Linked DNA regions of Drosophila melanogaster. The gene in region 1 interacts genetically with each later gene. Each region holds a gene or a part of one and is shown on either strand. Other genes may lie near its edges.

Region 1 (7,524 bases):
TCCGCAGAAACTAACCCACAAAGTAGTCTTACTGCTCAGTGGGTTAGTTATTGAGGTCTATGGCCCTTAAATACTATACTATACTAATAATTGACTGGGCGAACTTACCAGTGATGGAGTATATCATTAACTAAATATATAAGATGCAATTTTTGCTGAAACGTTGAACCATTGACCAAAGCCCTAAAAATAAATTAACAAACGAAAAACATATTTTTCTAGTTCTCTGTATGCACAACAACATTGCCAAAAGTACTTGTTGTGCAAGTATAATGATTTTTGTTAGTAAATCTTCTTTCTTTTTGGTATTTGTGTTTTTTTTTTTGGTTTTTTTTTTTTGTCCGATGATTATCACTGTTAAGTGTTGGTGTGTTGTTGTGCGTGTTTATGGTTAAGCTTATTAAGTAAAATGATTTGTTTGGGTGTGTGGCCCTAGCTAAAAGACTTCCGGATCTGGGGACTACTCATATATGATCATAACATCTCTCGAAAACGAATCAACGAATCAATCTCGAGCCTCTCTGTGGAAGTCTCAATCGCACAATCGCTCAATCGATCATCTCTCACTTGTTTGTTCGATATTTCGTATTTCGTTTTTCTATGTTTGGTTAGTATTTCACTCGTTGAAAGAAAGAAACACAATTTAATTAATACATATTGCAGGTCATTAGGTATAAAACTGAGGCATACTTCTTTAAAAGATATTGTAAAACGACATTGATTTTTGCGCTGTCGGTTGAATGCTGTAAAATCCAGTTCTTGCCTAAAATTGCAATATCAAACGGGTTACTCATATTGTCATTGTCCATGGCGATTATAAATTAGGTTTAGGATTAATCAAAAAGTAGTATGGATTCATTTAGTGTGCGCTTTGTGTGCAGCAAAGCTGCGGAGCATCAAAAATTCAGCTCCATTAGCTAACTTATGACTGATTACGAGACTACAAACAAGCAATAATGTAATCCAGCCTGTCCGCTGAACTCGTATTTACCTGCAGAGATGCTGTCCTTCGTGCAGGACTCGATGATCGGCTGCAGAACGCCATCGAAGTCCCTCAGCACAATGCCCTGTTCGCCAGCCATCTGTTCCTGCTGCGCCGTCTGCGCCGCCGCAATTGCATCCTCGATCTGCTTGGTCTTCTGATTCATCAGGGCCTACAGGTTGGTTTCGTTTGGTTGATTGGTGCGATTAGGATCGCAAGCGTTGGTGTGGTTCGGATCGGTTCGGTTTGGTCATTAGGCACACAAAGGTTTGTTCGCATGCATATTCGCATTTTGGGATTCATTTGACAAGCGTTTCAAAACAAATTTGATTTTAGGATTTGTTTTTTTTTTGTTTTTATACAGTTTTGTCAGTTGGTATGAAGAGTGGTTTGATTTGGTTTTTTTTTTTTTGGTTTATGTTTCAAAAAATACAATAAAGCAAAAATTTAATGTAGCATTGTAAATTGTTAATTAAATAGTAAAAATAATGACAAATATAGATTGTAGTTTGATATTGCTGAAAGTACACTTTAACTTTATCTTATCCGCACTTGGAGAACAAGAACTGAGTAGATCGATTGAAAAAACATTTGGAAAAGGGTCGAGAGCAGGATTGATTATTCTGAGGAATTCGTGGATTAGTTTCATAAGAAACAATTTCAAGAGGGAAGTCACTTCCATTACAGGGAAATTCAATAGCGACAAGCAATAAGAAATGTCCTTCTTATTAGAAAGAATTTAGTTCACAGTACTTATAGAGTGAAAAGTCCACAAAAGCAGTTCATAATTATTAATATTAAACACCATTTGATGAACTCTTGTTCCAGAGTTGTTATTACAAAAACTAGGGAATACAAAACTGCCATCTATGAGTCTATGACAATATCTTTGGAAATCATTTAAGTCCGAAAGTATATAAGGGTTATACAAGTTATCTTCTCTCTTAAGAAAATAATTAAAAGCATTCTGGCTTAAAATCGAGGTATATTCACATTCGATTGGGTCGTTTAAAAGGGAGGTCAAAAATTCGAAGAAGCAAACACGTTCTTATATTCAGACTATAAAAGCAACTTTTAGGTGGGTATTTAGTTTAAAAAGGAAACCAATTTGCTTCTTTAAATTTTTGCCAGAGGAGGCCAACATTCAACATGAAATCATATTGAAATCTTTTCTTTATACACTCGAGCTGCTCTAATCTTTCGGAAAAAGGCTTGCAAAGGTGGGCATATAGAGGTATCCCAGTTATTTCCAACTTCAAATTACCGTGTGCTGTGCGGAGAGATTCGCTTCGGATTGCTGGATCTGTTCCCGCAGCGACTTCTGCTGCATCTTGATGGCTTCCAGTTGTGACGTTAGATTCATGGCCATGGGATTGCCATTGGCCTGCTGATTGTTTGGCGGCCCACCGTTGCCGGAGTTCGGCGGCCAGGAGTGCTGTGTTTGCTGTTGCATATTGTCTTGTGCGGTTTCGGGCGGGTGCGGTGGCTGCTGATTGGGTGGCGGATAGAGGCCCGGTGGTTGGGATTGCTGCATTGGCGGCGGATGTTGCATGTAGTGGCCGGATGGAGCACCTGGTGGCAGTTGTTGGTTAATGGCCTGTTGCTTTAGCACTGTATTGGGTGTTAAAAGGAGATTATAGGGGTTATTTTCCACCAATTTAGAACGCACTCACGAGCTTGTTCCGCTGCCACCCTGAATTGATAATAGTTGGCGAACTCCCCGCCGTAGAGGAACTCGAACTTTGGATTGTTCTGCTGCTTCTGCTTGGTTATCGCCTCGAATTCCGGCCCATTTCTGGCCACAAACTCCGCCAGTTTGTCGATAATATTTCGTAAACTGGCATCTGCAAATAGAAAGCAAATGGTTTTTGCAAAAAATGTGAGCATATCAAAGGTTGTGCGTGCGCTTGTTTGTTTGTATGTGTACACATGTGCATGCCAATCGACTTGGGCACAAAATTAGCTTGATTTTAAGTTATATTCAGCACTTTTTAATTGCTGCACTTACCGCGTGGCGGTTGCACGTCCATTTTGCGACTGTTATTAGCACTATTATCCTATGTAAAATACTAAATTCATAACTTTTTGCACTTTTTCAGCGGCACTTTTCACTGCTTCTTCTTGTTTTTTCCGACAGTGTGCCCATATCTTTGTATTCTTAGAACGACATGTAGTCAAATACTAGGAGTTACTCTCGGCACTACTTTTTAAGTAGTTTTTAGCGCTTATCATACGCTTTTTTGAGCAAAAAAGCGGCTTAAACCTTTATCGCTGCTCATTTGTTAAATGTATTTATTGCCAGTAGCAGAAGTTCCAATTAGAATGACGGTGGTAGCAGAGCTGCCAACTTGTTCCACGTTATACCGGTCTCTCTTCTATTATTACCACAACGTGGCAACGCCGCGCGTCTATCTCAGTTCTAAGCTGACAAAAATAGTTTATTTGTGGTAAACAAACATTTAGCCAGGGCAATTTGCACCCAACAGAAATCTCCACGCCGGCCCGTGATTAATGCAGCATCCGAGGAGGCATGACAAATCCGCACTTTAAACCGACAACTCCGCGGACAGCGTGGCATTGAATTACACGGGCTCCCTGGAAATATAATCTTGAAATAGCCACTATATAGTGTGTATATGTATATAGACACATCCGCTAGCAGCAGAATGACCGATAATAAGGGGAGCGTTATCACCATTAATGGCGGCGAATCGGCGGGAAACTCGCCGCCCTCGCAGCGGAAGTCCTCGACGTCGGAATCTCCGCCGGAACTCCGTATCCTTTGCTTTGACCTCACCTACTACAATCGCACAACTCAGTTCCTGCTCAGCTGCGCCGGCGTCTTCTTCCTGTACATCCTGTACGGCTATCTGCAGGAGCTGATCTTCACCGTCGAAGGATTCAAACCCTACGGATGGTTCCTCACGCTCGTCCAGTTTGGCTACTACATCGGCTTCGGTTTGGTGGAGCGGCGGCTGGAGGGCTATCGGATAAGCGGCGGTTCCTTTTGGAACATTGAGCCGGAGCCACGTTGCATTCCCATGAGAACATACCTAATTCTGGCTGCTCTCACGCTGGGTACCATGGGTCTGTCCAACTCAAGTCTCGGCTACCTGAACTATCCCACCCAGGTGATTTTCAAGTGCTGCAAGCTCATTCCCGTGCTGGTGGGCAGCATCCTCATACAGGGCAAACGCTACGGACTGCTGGACTTTGCGGCAGCCACCTGCATGTGCATCGGATTGGCCTGGTTCACGCTGGCCGACTCCCAGATGACGCCCAATTTCAATCTGCTTGGTGTGGCCATGATTTCGGGAGCGCTGCTCTGCGACGCAGCCATTGGCAATGTCCAGGAGAAGGCGATGCGGGAATTCAAGGCGCCCAGCAGTGAGGTGGTGTTCTACTCATACGGCTTGGGTTTTGTGTACCTATTTGTGATTATGCTGGTTACCGGCAACTTCTTCAGCGGCTTTGCATTCTGTTTGGAGGTGGGTAACATTTGAGGTTTATGATGTAAGAGATCTAAAGTGTATTATCCATTTAGCATCCCGTTGAGACCTTCGGCTATGGCTTCCTCTTTAGTTTGTCCGGCTATCTGGGCATTCAGTTTGTGCTGGCTCTGGTGAGGAGTAGTGGTGCCCCCATAGCTGCCACAGTGACCACCGCCCGCAAGGCTGTGACTATAGCCTTCTCCTTTGTGCTTTTCAGCAAGCCCTTTACCTTACAGTAAGTACTATTCTGTGTATTTCTAAAGACAAAGCTCTATTATACCTATCCCAAACTTTCAGATATCTGTGGTCGGGCCTCATCGTTGTCCTGGGCATATATCTCAATGTCTACAGCAAGAGGAACAAGCTGACGTTGGCCGACGTCCGGCAGAGAATAAAGCAATTTGGAGCCAAGGTTGCCCGCTCACCGAGTCGCAAATTCCTCATCGAAGTTTAGAACGATACCAAAAACACTCACATTTTAGTTGAATTGGAAGCATGGGTTTTCTATAAGAAAACCATTAAATATAATTACTTAATTACATTCTAAACAAACTATGTGCTATCTGTCCATGTCGAACTCCATTACGCGCTTGAAGAGATCCTGGCGCTCCTTGGCGGAGGTTATCTGACCCATGGTGCGGTCCAGGAACTGTTTTTGGTGCTTGACTATGAACTTGTTGCATTGGATGATGGTGGCACCAATGTACAGCGTCCTAAACTTGGCCCGTACATCTCCGATCTGAAAGAAATGTGGTTTTATAGCTGGTTTAAGGACATGGCAATGAGACCAACCAAAGTAATCAATGGCAATACGCTGGACACGAAGCGTTGGCCTCGATGGAGACAGCGTATGATTGCCATTTTCGTGCGATCGTTGATGTATTTCACTCGAAATCCCTGCTCGATCACGGCGAGGCCATAGACTCCGTAATACTTCTCCACATTCTGAAGCAGGATCTTGGTCAGGCTGTGGTCGTTGAGTCGCAGAGATTGTGTTGGCGTGTAGGGCACAATCTGCACCGCTATATACCTGTTTATGGATGGTTTAATTAATGATCGTTAAGGAAAACGCGGTCAATATTTACCTATTCTTTATGCGAACCATCGCTGTGTCATCAATATGGCAACGTCGCAGATAGTTGCCAGACCAAATTCGCTTCAACTACCGATAACGTATCGGTTTTCAAAATTCCGGAAATAGCTGTTCGGTTTTTTATGTGATAAATAAATGTTGTCTTATTGTATACGGATGAAAAAAATATTCCTCAATAAAGGATTCAGCTGTATTTAAATAAACGTTAGCTGGAAAAGACTATTTATATATCTTTATCCTTATTTGCATATCCGATATTCTCTCTAAAAAATTCAAATTTTTTTCCAAATCCAAAAGTCTTGTAATTTATTTGGAACGCTTGAATAGATAATGACCTTGTATGTTCAATATGTTTATATAGCGTGAGAACTTAGAATTTCTTATTTGGTGTATATTTTCAATCGAAAAATCAACCTTTTACTTTTTAGAAAGTCTTTTGTTCGAGTTTGATGTATTGAAAATAAATGCATGGACATACATTGTTTTCCACCCATTCACTTGTATTTTGACAATTGAACAATGGATTCGGGGAATCGGACAGAGAAACTGGCAACTTGTCGACCAATTCATGGATGTGGGCAGAACATTCCTCACTGCCGCTGCCCACGTTTCGCTCTCCGGCGACAAACGGAATGGGGGGCATTGCTCCAGTGCCAGTGGGGATTTCTCCATCTGTTCGTTGAATCTAAACACATATCTATATAATATATAGATATATATTCGCAGACTTGGGGATGCGGGGATCTCAGCGCAACGCATCGCATTATAGCTGGCTGGCGCACATATGCAGATATCGTGGCTGCCCCGTCGACGGCTCCCCATGCCGCTCCACTGGATGGGATGTGCTCCATCCAACGAGCGATCGGTGGCCGTGGAAAACCACTATACGGCTCGTGTTCAGTCTCCGGGGCAGCGAATGCGGCGGGATACGCTCCGATCGCGTTTTATTTTTGCTTTTTCCCATCGCACTTTACAGTCATTTCTAAAAAACAATAAAATTCGGGCAGCGGCGTGGAAAAACGCTACATATACTCCAACGATCCGAACATCCACCGATTGATCGGCAGCCGCATTCGTGTTTTTCCGCTTTTCCGTGGCAAGTTCACCGATTGTGGTCTATATTTTGGAAAACGCATCCGCGCAGCCTCGCAGTTGGAACGAATACTCCGTGACGATCGCTTCGCAAGATTAGGCTGATCAGACAGATCCCATTGGCAAAGATATACCCAAAAGTAGCAGCAACATGAGCAGCGTCGTAAGCATCTGAGATTTTTCCAGCTCCACAGGATTGTCGATGATTAATACCTAAATGTGTGTCCAATTCCAGGATGAAGATCTTACACCCGAGCAGATCGCCGTGCTCCAGAAGGCGTTCAACAGCTTCGATCACCAGAAGACTGGCTCCATCCCCACCGAGATGGTCGCCGACATACTGCGCCTGATGGGTGAGTTTTGGGGTTGAGGATGTCCATTTGGATGAAGGAGTACTTATTGTTTTTACAACTGCAGGTCAGCCCTTCGACAAGAAGATCCTGGAGGAACTGATCGAGGAGGTCGATGAGGACAGTAAGTAAACGCTATTTTTACAACGTATGATAGATATAGTCGAAAGTTGCTGAGTATTTCAATGATATTTTATTATATTTACAATTTTAATATGAATACAATTCAAAATAGACAACATTTGCATTTGAGTCATTGAGTCAAACTGCCAATTAAAATAATTGTGTGGCATATATTTAATTTAATTTATTTCAGTCCCCAAGTAGAACAGGGTGAAAATTCTACAAAAACTAAATGCATATAGTTATTATAAAATGAAACAAAATAAAAATGAGAAATGCATCAATAATATATATGTACACTTGTGCCGATTTCATGGATGTTTTTTTCTTTCGTTTAATCGATTTGTGTAGTTATATATACACATTTTCCTTCAACATCTATAGTCTATAATC
Region 2 (8,677 bases), on another chromosome or scaffold:
ATTCGATGTTCTGGAAACGTTGGGCAGCGCGGGAACGGTTCTGTTCAGCATCTTGCAGAATCTTCGCAAGGTGTTTGCCGCTAGCGCTGGAAGTGCAAGTTCCGCATCCTCGGGGGGCGGCGGCGGTGGAGCAAACTAGTGGACTTTCTCGGAGATTATGTTCTGTGATTAATATAAGTCTTGTGCAAATTCGGATTTCCCTTGATTCTTACTAATTAAATAAACGAAATGTTATGAAAATGGAGAAATTAATATTTCGATTTTGGGAAATAGATTTTGCCACTACCCCAAAAAAGACTTGCAGTTGGATTTTATAAAATATTTTACTGTCTTAATTCTGGTTTTTTATACGATACTCTTAAGTAGCCTACATGAACTCATAGTTTCCGTCGTCAAAGTTGCGATTGCCGACCATTGGACCGCCTGCTCCCATTTGATTGGGATTCTGGCCACCCATTTGCGGCCGGAACTGATTGCCTGGCGTGGTCTGGTGCTGCAAGAGCTGGCGCAGCCCCGGGTTGTTGTTGCTCATCATGGGACGCACCATGCGCTGCTGCTGCTGTTGCGCCTGCTGCTGCTGCATTGCGGCGACGTTTGGCGCCACTTGTTGCAACTGCTGCTGGAGGTTTGGATTGGGCACGCCACCGGGACCAACACCCACGCCAACACCTACGCCCAGTGGCATTCGCTGTTGCTGCATCATGTTCATCTGCATTTGATTCTGTTGCATGGGCATGCCGCCGGGACCGGGACCAGGTCCGCCGCCAGGACCTCCACCACCCATCTGCATATTGAGTTGGAACTGGTTGTAGTGTTGCTGCTGCGAGTTATCCTGTTGCATCTGTTGCTGCTGTTGTTGTTGTTGCTGTTGCTGCTGCAGCTCCATGGGCGACTTGCCTTGCTGCTGCATCATTTGCTGCTGTTGCTGCTGCTGTTGCATGTTGCCGTGCTGCTTTTGCTGTATGACTTTGCGCAGACGTTCCACAAACATTGCCTGATTATTGGGAATGAAGCCCAGAAAAGCGTTGCGATCGGGCGTGTAGAGTAGGATGAGAACCTTAAGGTCACAGGCTGGTGAGTTGGGGATGGAGGAGAAGTGGACGCAGCCAGCATAGCCGGAGGTCATCATCTTGGCCAGCGAATCGAGTGCCTCTCCTGGAGTGGGTCGAAAAACAACCATTTTCGAGTCCTTGAGAAACTGCCCACCAATATTGCCAACTAGGTGCTTGGGCATTAGCTGCATCAACAGCTTGGGCGGCCAGTTCTCAGCCTTGATCTCGGGCTCGCCATCTTTGATGTTGGTGCACACGGTACACTGGAGTGTATGGGGAATCTTCTGTTGATCGGACTTTGGCTTCTCTGACCACTCCAGCACTCCGGTCCATATCTTTTCCCTCAAGGAGGCCTGCTCCTGCTGCGAATTTCCCTGCTGTTGCTGCTGCGGATTGCCCTGCTGCTGCGGATTCGACTGTTGTCCTACTTGTTGTTGCTGCTGCTGCGGATTAGACATGTTGCCGGCATTGCTAGCCGGCATCATATTGTTTCCTGCATTGGGATTTACCTGCTGCTGTTGCTGTCCTTGCTGCTGCTGTTGCTGTTGCTGGGCCAGTTGCTGTTGCTGCTGCAACTGCTGGTGATTTAGCATCTGCTGCTGGCTCAGCATCTGCATCCTTTGTTGCTGCTGCTGTTGGGCCTGTTGTTGCTGCTGCTGCTGCTGCTGCGCCTGCTGCTGTTGCTGCTGCTGCAGCGAGGTCACAGTTTGGTTCGGCGGCGGCGCATTAATGCGCGATATCAGAGCAGAATTTGGATTCTGTTGCATGCCGCCGCCTTGGCCCACACCGCCCACATTGCCTGCTCCCTGCATGAAGGGCGGACGCGCCTGACCAGGCTGGTTGGGATACATCCAGCGGTTTTGGCCGGGTCCCACGTTTTGCTGGAAGTTCTGATTCTGCATTTGATTGGAAACGAATTGATTCTGCTGCTGCTGCTGCAATAGTTGCTGCTGCTGCTGTGGATTGAGTAAGCCCGCTGGGGGATTTGGACCGGGCTGCTGTTGCTGCATCGTGTTCATGTTCATGACCTGCTGCTGAGGATTGCCTTGTTGTTGCTGTTGCTGCTGCTGTTGTTGTTGCTGTTGCTGCTGCTGGGCTGGAGTGGTGTCCATGGGCATGCCCTGCCCTTGTTGTTGCTGACCAGCTTGATTTTGTTGCTGTTGTTGTTGCTGCTGCACTGTAGCCTGTGCCGCATTGGGTGCAGCCATTTGGGCCGCCATGCTGTTGGGACTAGGTGCTCTCTCCTTGAGGCTGTATCCCTTTAGAAGCACTAGGTGTCTTATGTTCTTGGCATAGTTTTTGCTCGTAATGGGCTGATCTCCGTCGGCCTTCATGAAAAGTTTGAACAACACCGGCATCTTGCGTGGCGCAATAATGGAGAGATTGATTTTGCGCTCGTTGAAGAGCGCCGCCAGCTGCTCACATGATTTGCCCGGATACTTCCACGACTCCGTTGTGGGCATCTGGTACGGCGGACTGTTGCAGATGAGAATGCAGTGCCTCTGGACGCTGGTCTGATCGAGCAACTGGCGCCTTTCGCTGATGTCATCAAAACAGCCGTGGGCCGCAGCAAATCCTTCGGCCATGTGGGCACAGGACTCCATTCCGCCTCCCACTAGTGGCAATCTTTCGATCGTCTCCATCACTTTTTGGGGCTGCAGAAAGGGACCATAGGTTGAACAAACTGGCTCCAGCAGATTGGCCGCTGTACGGTAGACCACAATACCGTACAGAGTGGCAAAGCGCTCCGCAATCAGGTATTCCCGCTCGTCGATGGAGCCAGTGGTGAAGTGCTCCAAAGTCGGCAGGATGTAGTTGGTCTTTAGTTCGTTGATGTAGGCTCCGTTGATGGCGCTGCCCTCGATGACGAAGACCACGTCGGCCAGGGGAATCTGGTCCACCTCCATTGGACGATGGGAGTTGGCTTTAAGTTGAAAAACTTGTTGCAAAAAATGTAAACTATGTTGTCTGCTTTACACCGCTCTTTTACTTTTTTCGTTTGTTTTGCATATCGCTCTGCTGCTATCGATAGTCAACTTATGGTTATCGCTCAGCGATTGCTAGGGCTGCAAAATAAATGAATATTCAAAAGTGCCCATAAAGTTGGATTTAAGAATATGCAGATTGCCTTGAAAACTTGTTTCTATTGAATTCTTTTTCTATTTTCACAAATAAAAAAACGTTTGGTGTTTATCTAATTAACTTAAAATTGAATATTGCATACAAAAGATAACTATAAATAAGATATTACGATGTTTTATGTTAGGTATCATAATTATAGTTGTTTTATGTATGTATTTTCAATGGAACTATAAAGTTAATTCTTTAAATATTCGTTACCAATAGTTTATATCGATGGTTGCAAGTGCTGCCAGACTCTCGCAGCGAGTTTCCGTTCGGCAGTCTGGCAGCGCGGTCAGCTGTTCCTATTGCCCAACTTGCGCAGTTCGTTTTGTTCAGTTCATTCGCCGATTTTGAAGAATGCGGACGTTGACGCTGGTACCGCGTCGTTTTGCCAAAATAATTCGTAAAAAATATACGCAAAACGCTTAGAAAGTGTCAATTAACTAAACATTAGCTATTGAGCAGTGCAAGTGCAGGAAAAACGATCGCAGAAATAGCCGAAAACACATGAAAGTGCGAATTGCGGGCTTTTTTGTGGCTGGCACAGAATGTGTGGCACAAAGCGGAAAGCGCGCTAATTGAGCGTGCGAGCGCCTGAAACGCAGAGAAATGTAAATAAATAAACGTGTGACGCCGCGACAATTGTGAAAAGTGCACAAACACGACGTTTGGCAAGTGAAAAGTGAGTGAAATCTAGATAAATTTCATTAAATTGCCCATTTCGCATCTGGCAAGAAGAACAGCTGTTGTTTGGCATCTCGCTCTGTCTGGTTGTCCTCTCTCTTATTTTGCCCTCTCTCTGTTTTTGTTGCTCCCCTTTGCTTCTGTTTTTTTTTACTGCAATGTTGCTAAATCGTTTGATTCTATTATTATAATTATACTCCTTGCCCTGACGTCACTGCCTCGAAAAACCTGATAATTTGGGTAGGCAATTAGCATGGTTTAAGTATAGTTTAGAGTACAGAGAAGTGAATTAAACGGCCATGTGTGCACAGCATGCATGCTTTTTTGTTATTGTTGCCTGGCAACATGTTTCGCCACATCTGCCTTTTTTTTCTTGTCTCTCTGTTAGTCCAATTTGCCAATAAGCAACTTTTCCATTTGTTTACAATAATTGTGATCGCTACAGAAGCACCGATCGTGAAGTAAAAAGCGCCTACATAAATATAAGGCACCAGTTATGCTTGGGCGTCACTCCGACTGCCGATCGCCAGTTATTTTAGTTGGGTGTTTGTACATTTAAATACCCTACCTAAATGCAACTTACTCGCATGTAGTCAATATCATTCAAACCCTAATATGTTACGCATTTTCCAATCGGGTTTATCACATATAAACAATATCGAAGCCAGATAAAGCGACTTGTGATAATAATCACCCATACAACAAAGGCTGTTCATTCATTATATTTACCATATTATTGATAACTATTTTTATAACTGAACTACAATATGTTCTTATAAATAAAGAATCACTAGATAATTTAAATATTAAATGAAATAAGTACAAACTATTTTTTAACTATAATAAGTTATTATTTGAGTAATTGCACGTATTATCATGTACGGATGTAGGTTTTTTGCTTTAAATAATAAACGTATTTAAACGTATTTTTAATTGATTAAGGGTATACTAAATGCATTGCTTTCGGCTCCGCCATTCACTTTCCACTATTGCGTCATTATTGGTTGATTTATGTATTTTATCGTTACGCTATACATTTGCAGATCGCATTCGCGCGTGGAAATTTAATTTAAGATTTCCCACACAAATAAAGATAAATTTGTTATTGCACAAACGTTTGTTATTCACGCCCGTCTTGAATACTTACTAATAGATTTGCAATTAAAATAGGGTCAGATTAAACGATAAATCAACTTCACCGCCTGCTTATCAGTTTTTGACCCTAACAAAAAAATAGAAAGTCCAATTAACTATGTATGTACGTTTTAATTGTGAACTTCTTATCAGTCTGCCATAGATTTAGGTTCTTAAAAACTATTTTTGATTTTCCCCTGAAGAGCTTTCAGCTACTAAGTAAGTGGCTAGATAAGGGCTAGACAATTTGACAGACCGCTTTATCGGCATGGTCAAGTGGTAACTAATCGGAAACGGTGTTGCTTTTGTAGTGCTCCCAAAACTAATAGGTTTCTAACCGTTTTTCACTCTTACTCCATTTGCAGGCACTGAAAGCCGAGAGACAAGGAAAACCCATTTCCGCGCCAAGTGCAATGGGCGAAGGTGTTCCCATTTTTCGAGTTCTTATCGGGCAGCGACTGAAGTATGATTGAGTTGGCCTCGCCTCCGATTCGCGTCTGGTTCTCGTTGCGCTAGGCCGATACGGATACCCGCTTGGACTCCACTCGGGTGGACCCTTGTTGGACCTTTAGTGCGATTTTCGAGGGAGGCCAGGGAATGGAACATGCCCGGGGATATGCATAAGAACGTATCTGTTCAAGTCGATAGTGATTTTGCCTTATTGCTGCCCAGTGGTGTTTATGAAATCAAGAAAATGGAACCGCGCTCCAAAATCCGAACAATCATTGTGTTTTGCCTCTTCCTGGCCATCGCCGGCATCATCGGATTTGGATACTTTTGTCAAGATCAGGTAAGTGCCAAATCCCCTCATTAATTCCCATTGCTTATAATTTATAATTTTCTGTTACTTGGCTCCAATGCAAATTAGCACACCAATTGGCGAAATGCTGAATTTATTCATTAATATTTGCCGTACATGTGTGCTTTTATTGGAATTACCATTCATACATTTTTGGATCGCACGAAACTTGTTTTGCTATGGCGCATTAATAAATTTATTATTTAAAATATTCGTATAAAAATATGCGTTGGAGTGTTTTTCCCTTCGGCGCTAAAGACAGCTTTTATAATATAGAACTCTTTCTCGATGTTTATCAATTTTTTGGGAGCTTTAATTAGACAAAACAAAATGTTTTGTTTACAGCCTTTCGGTTGGCGCCTTTAAAACTCGGAAATTGTTTACGCAAACGCAAAGGTGCTAATGAAATTCCTCCAAAAATGGAAAATGTGTAACATAATAAGATTTCGCTTGCAGGCGATTGTGCTTCTGTGTTATTATTCATAAATCTTTGACACGCGTGCCCCGTATTGAAATTAGTCTAATCTGTAGCATAAAGTTTACAAACAACTATGGATTTCTGGTTGGTATATTTGGGTCACTACTCATAATATCGCCCATAAATCTTCGGCGTGGTTGATTGAAATTTGTCTTATCTGTTGGACTAATAAGGCTTCCCCCCGCGCATCTAATGAATGATTTAATGGCCGAGGTGTAAAGTGCATTCGTGGGCCATAAAAACCGAACCGAGGCAAAACAGCACATAAAATTCTACCCTGGGGACACATAAACCCGCACCAGTCGCTATTCCTTCAATTTTTGCTGCCTCGCGGTGTTCATATACTTGCGTACTTTGGATATATTTAACTATTAATCCAGCTCGTGCCAGTCACGTCTAAAAAAAGCCACGATGAAATTGTTTGAAGAAGGTCATCAATTGCCAATTGCAGGCGAAACAAAAATTTAATATATGTACATACATAAATACATACGCCTCGATGAGTTCTATCATATGTGTGGCTGTTGAAAAATGTTTCAATTTCGTTCTGGCGGTCTTTAATTAAACAAGAAACAAATTCGTTGATGCTCCAAGAACCGAAAAAGAAGTCAAGTGGGCGTGACTTTTAGCAAGAGTTCAATGTCAAATGGCTGTGTTTATGATACAGATATATGTATATAAATGTTTATTCTATATATTTTCGTGCTTTTCGCTTTTTGCTATCGGCGGGTCTGTCTGCAGTGAGCATTAAACTATTTTCCAAATTGAAATAGCTAGCCAAAATGACATTAATTGAGCGCAGCTGCCTCGCCCTCTGGTTTTCCCTGTTTTCCGCACGCGATCTGGCCAGACATAGTGACGAGCAGGGCGTGGCCACGCCCCCTGCCGATGCGTACGTTGGAAAATTCGCCGTCTTTAAAAATAGCTTAATTAGTTGTACGCGCCATAAACGAAAAATATGCTTAGTGCTTGTATTAGTGTGGCGAAAGGCAAACATGAAAATTGGGCTCATGAGGTTGCGTGTCCAATGGAAAACAGACAGATTATTCTATTATTTGGGATGCGAGGGCGGCCCATTTCGGTGATTCTTTCAGATTTGTAACCTTAATGGGCCAAGTTGAATATAAATTACTCGGTCGCAATGGGAGTACTTTGTTCCCGGAATACTTTAACTCTTGCTACTTGGCCTGATAAATTACAAGCTATTTTTAATTGTCCTTCTTTGCTGAACTTAAGTAGCAGTAACAGTCCTCTTTCAGATCATTAAGCCAGTAATGTTACATTACTTGCGAGGAAAAAATGATTTAATAATATGACAGGCAGATAATAAAAAATATAAATTGCTACTGTTCGATAAACTGAATCGCATTTAATTTGGTATTGAAAGGAAAACAGAATTGATTGCTTTGGCGGGTTTGTTTTCAAACAGCTCCGTTTTTTCGGTATATACAATAGGTGCATTTTACTATATTAAATCTAAAAAAATTATTGTTTATGAGTTCTTAAAACAAAGTAAAAAGGTTTTAACTTAATAGCAAAAAATGTAATTGAAGTCTATTTATTAAAACTGCTAAAAGAAACAATCATTGACAGGTTAATAAGTACTTGAATAGTTACATTGCTTTGTTTCTGACACATTTTTAAATTTCAGCTTTAATTTACAGCCTGTGGCATACAATATTGGTCAGTAAAAGAGGAAACTTTATTTGACAGTTATCTTCGCAGTGTTTGTTCCATTTCTAAAGTAGCCACAAATGTGTAAACACTATCTGCCAGTTGAACATAAACAACATCGTTGACTCTTGCTCGGAATATTTAATGCTCTGCCTCGTTGAAATGCTATATTTTTTTCTAATTTGGTTTTATTTATTTCAATTTATGCAAATTTTAAATCACTGAATATTTATTCAGTCTTGATAAAAAGCCATTAATTAAATACCGCGTTCAAGTTGTTTGAGTATGTTTGAGTTTTAAATAAATTGCGGCTGGAGAATTTCGTGATTGCTGTGACGTCCGATCTGCAATTGTTTACGCACATTTCAAATAAGGTCCAAAGTTCAATTACAGGTGGTGTGTATTTGTTTATGCACTTCACTTGGACTCTTTGCTTTATCTGATTGAATAAACAAAAGGCGATGTTTATTATTTCGATACGCTTGCATATTCAGTTTTCATAATTGCTGCAGTGGTTGTCTGGATTTTGGTGCAATTCACAAAGCGCAGCTAATGAAATGAAAACTATTTATGACTTTTTCTGTTTTGTTTGGCCGAAATGTTTTCCGAAATTTATACCCGCACCTCAACCACAATGAAAATGTTTTGTTTTAGGTTTTTACGGCGCATTTTCCGCATTTATGTATATGTTTTGTCCCCCTTTTTTTTTGGGCTTAGTTTACTTACCAAATT

What was found.
Region 2: of Papst2 (region 1) and Hs6st, changing one enhances a phenotype caused by changing the other (phenotypic enhancement), as found in Drosophila melanogaster (one study listed by BioGRID).

What each region holds. Positions count from the first base shown.
Region 1 is NT_037436.4:17,039,448-17,046,971, forward strand, and holds Papst2 (PAPS transporter 2), read left to right. Parts: upstream 1-3,349; 5' UTR 3,350-3,618; coding exon 3,619-4,470; intron 4,471-4,526; coding exon 4,527-4,708; intron 4,709-4,770; coding exon 4,771-4,927; 3' UTR 4,928-5,018; downstream 5,019-7,524. Other genes in the region: scaf6 (SR-related CTD associated factor 6), read right to left, coding at 109-183, 691-763, 992-1,154, 2,247-2,593, 2,656-2,826, 2,991-3,012; POP5 ribonuclease P/MRP subunit, read right to left, coding at 5,033-5,212, 5,266-5,503, 5,559-5,578; TpnC73F (troponin C at 73F), read left to right, coding at 6,810-6,821, 6,894-7,011, 7,076-7,132. UniProt on the Drosophila melanogaster protein: Mediates the transport of adenosine 3'-phospho 5'-phosphosulfate (PAPS), from cytosol into Golgi. PAPS is a universal sulfuryl donor for sulfation events that take place in the Golgi. Essential for viability.
Region 2 is NT_033777.3:20,003,342-20,012,018, reverse strand, and holds the start of Hs6st (heparan sulfate 6-O-sulfotransferase), read left to right. Parts: upstream 1-3,506; 5' UTR 3,507-3,858; intron 3,859-5,359; 5' UTR 5,360-5,598; coding exon 5,599-5,784; intron 5,785-8,677. Other genes in the region: CG17190 (uncharacterized protein), read left to right, coding at 1-139; MED25 (mediator complex subunit 25), read right to left, coding at 368-2,959.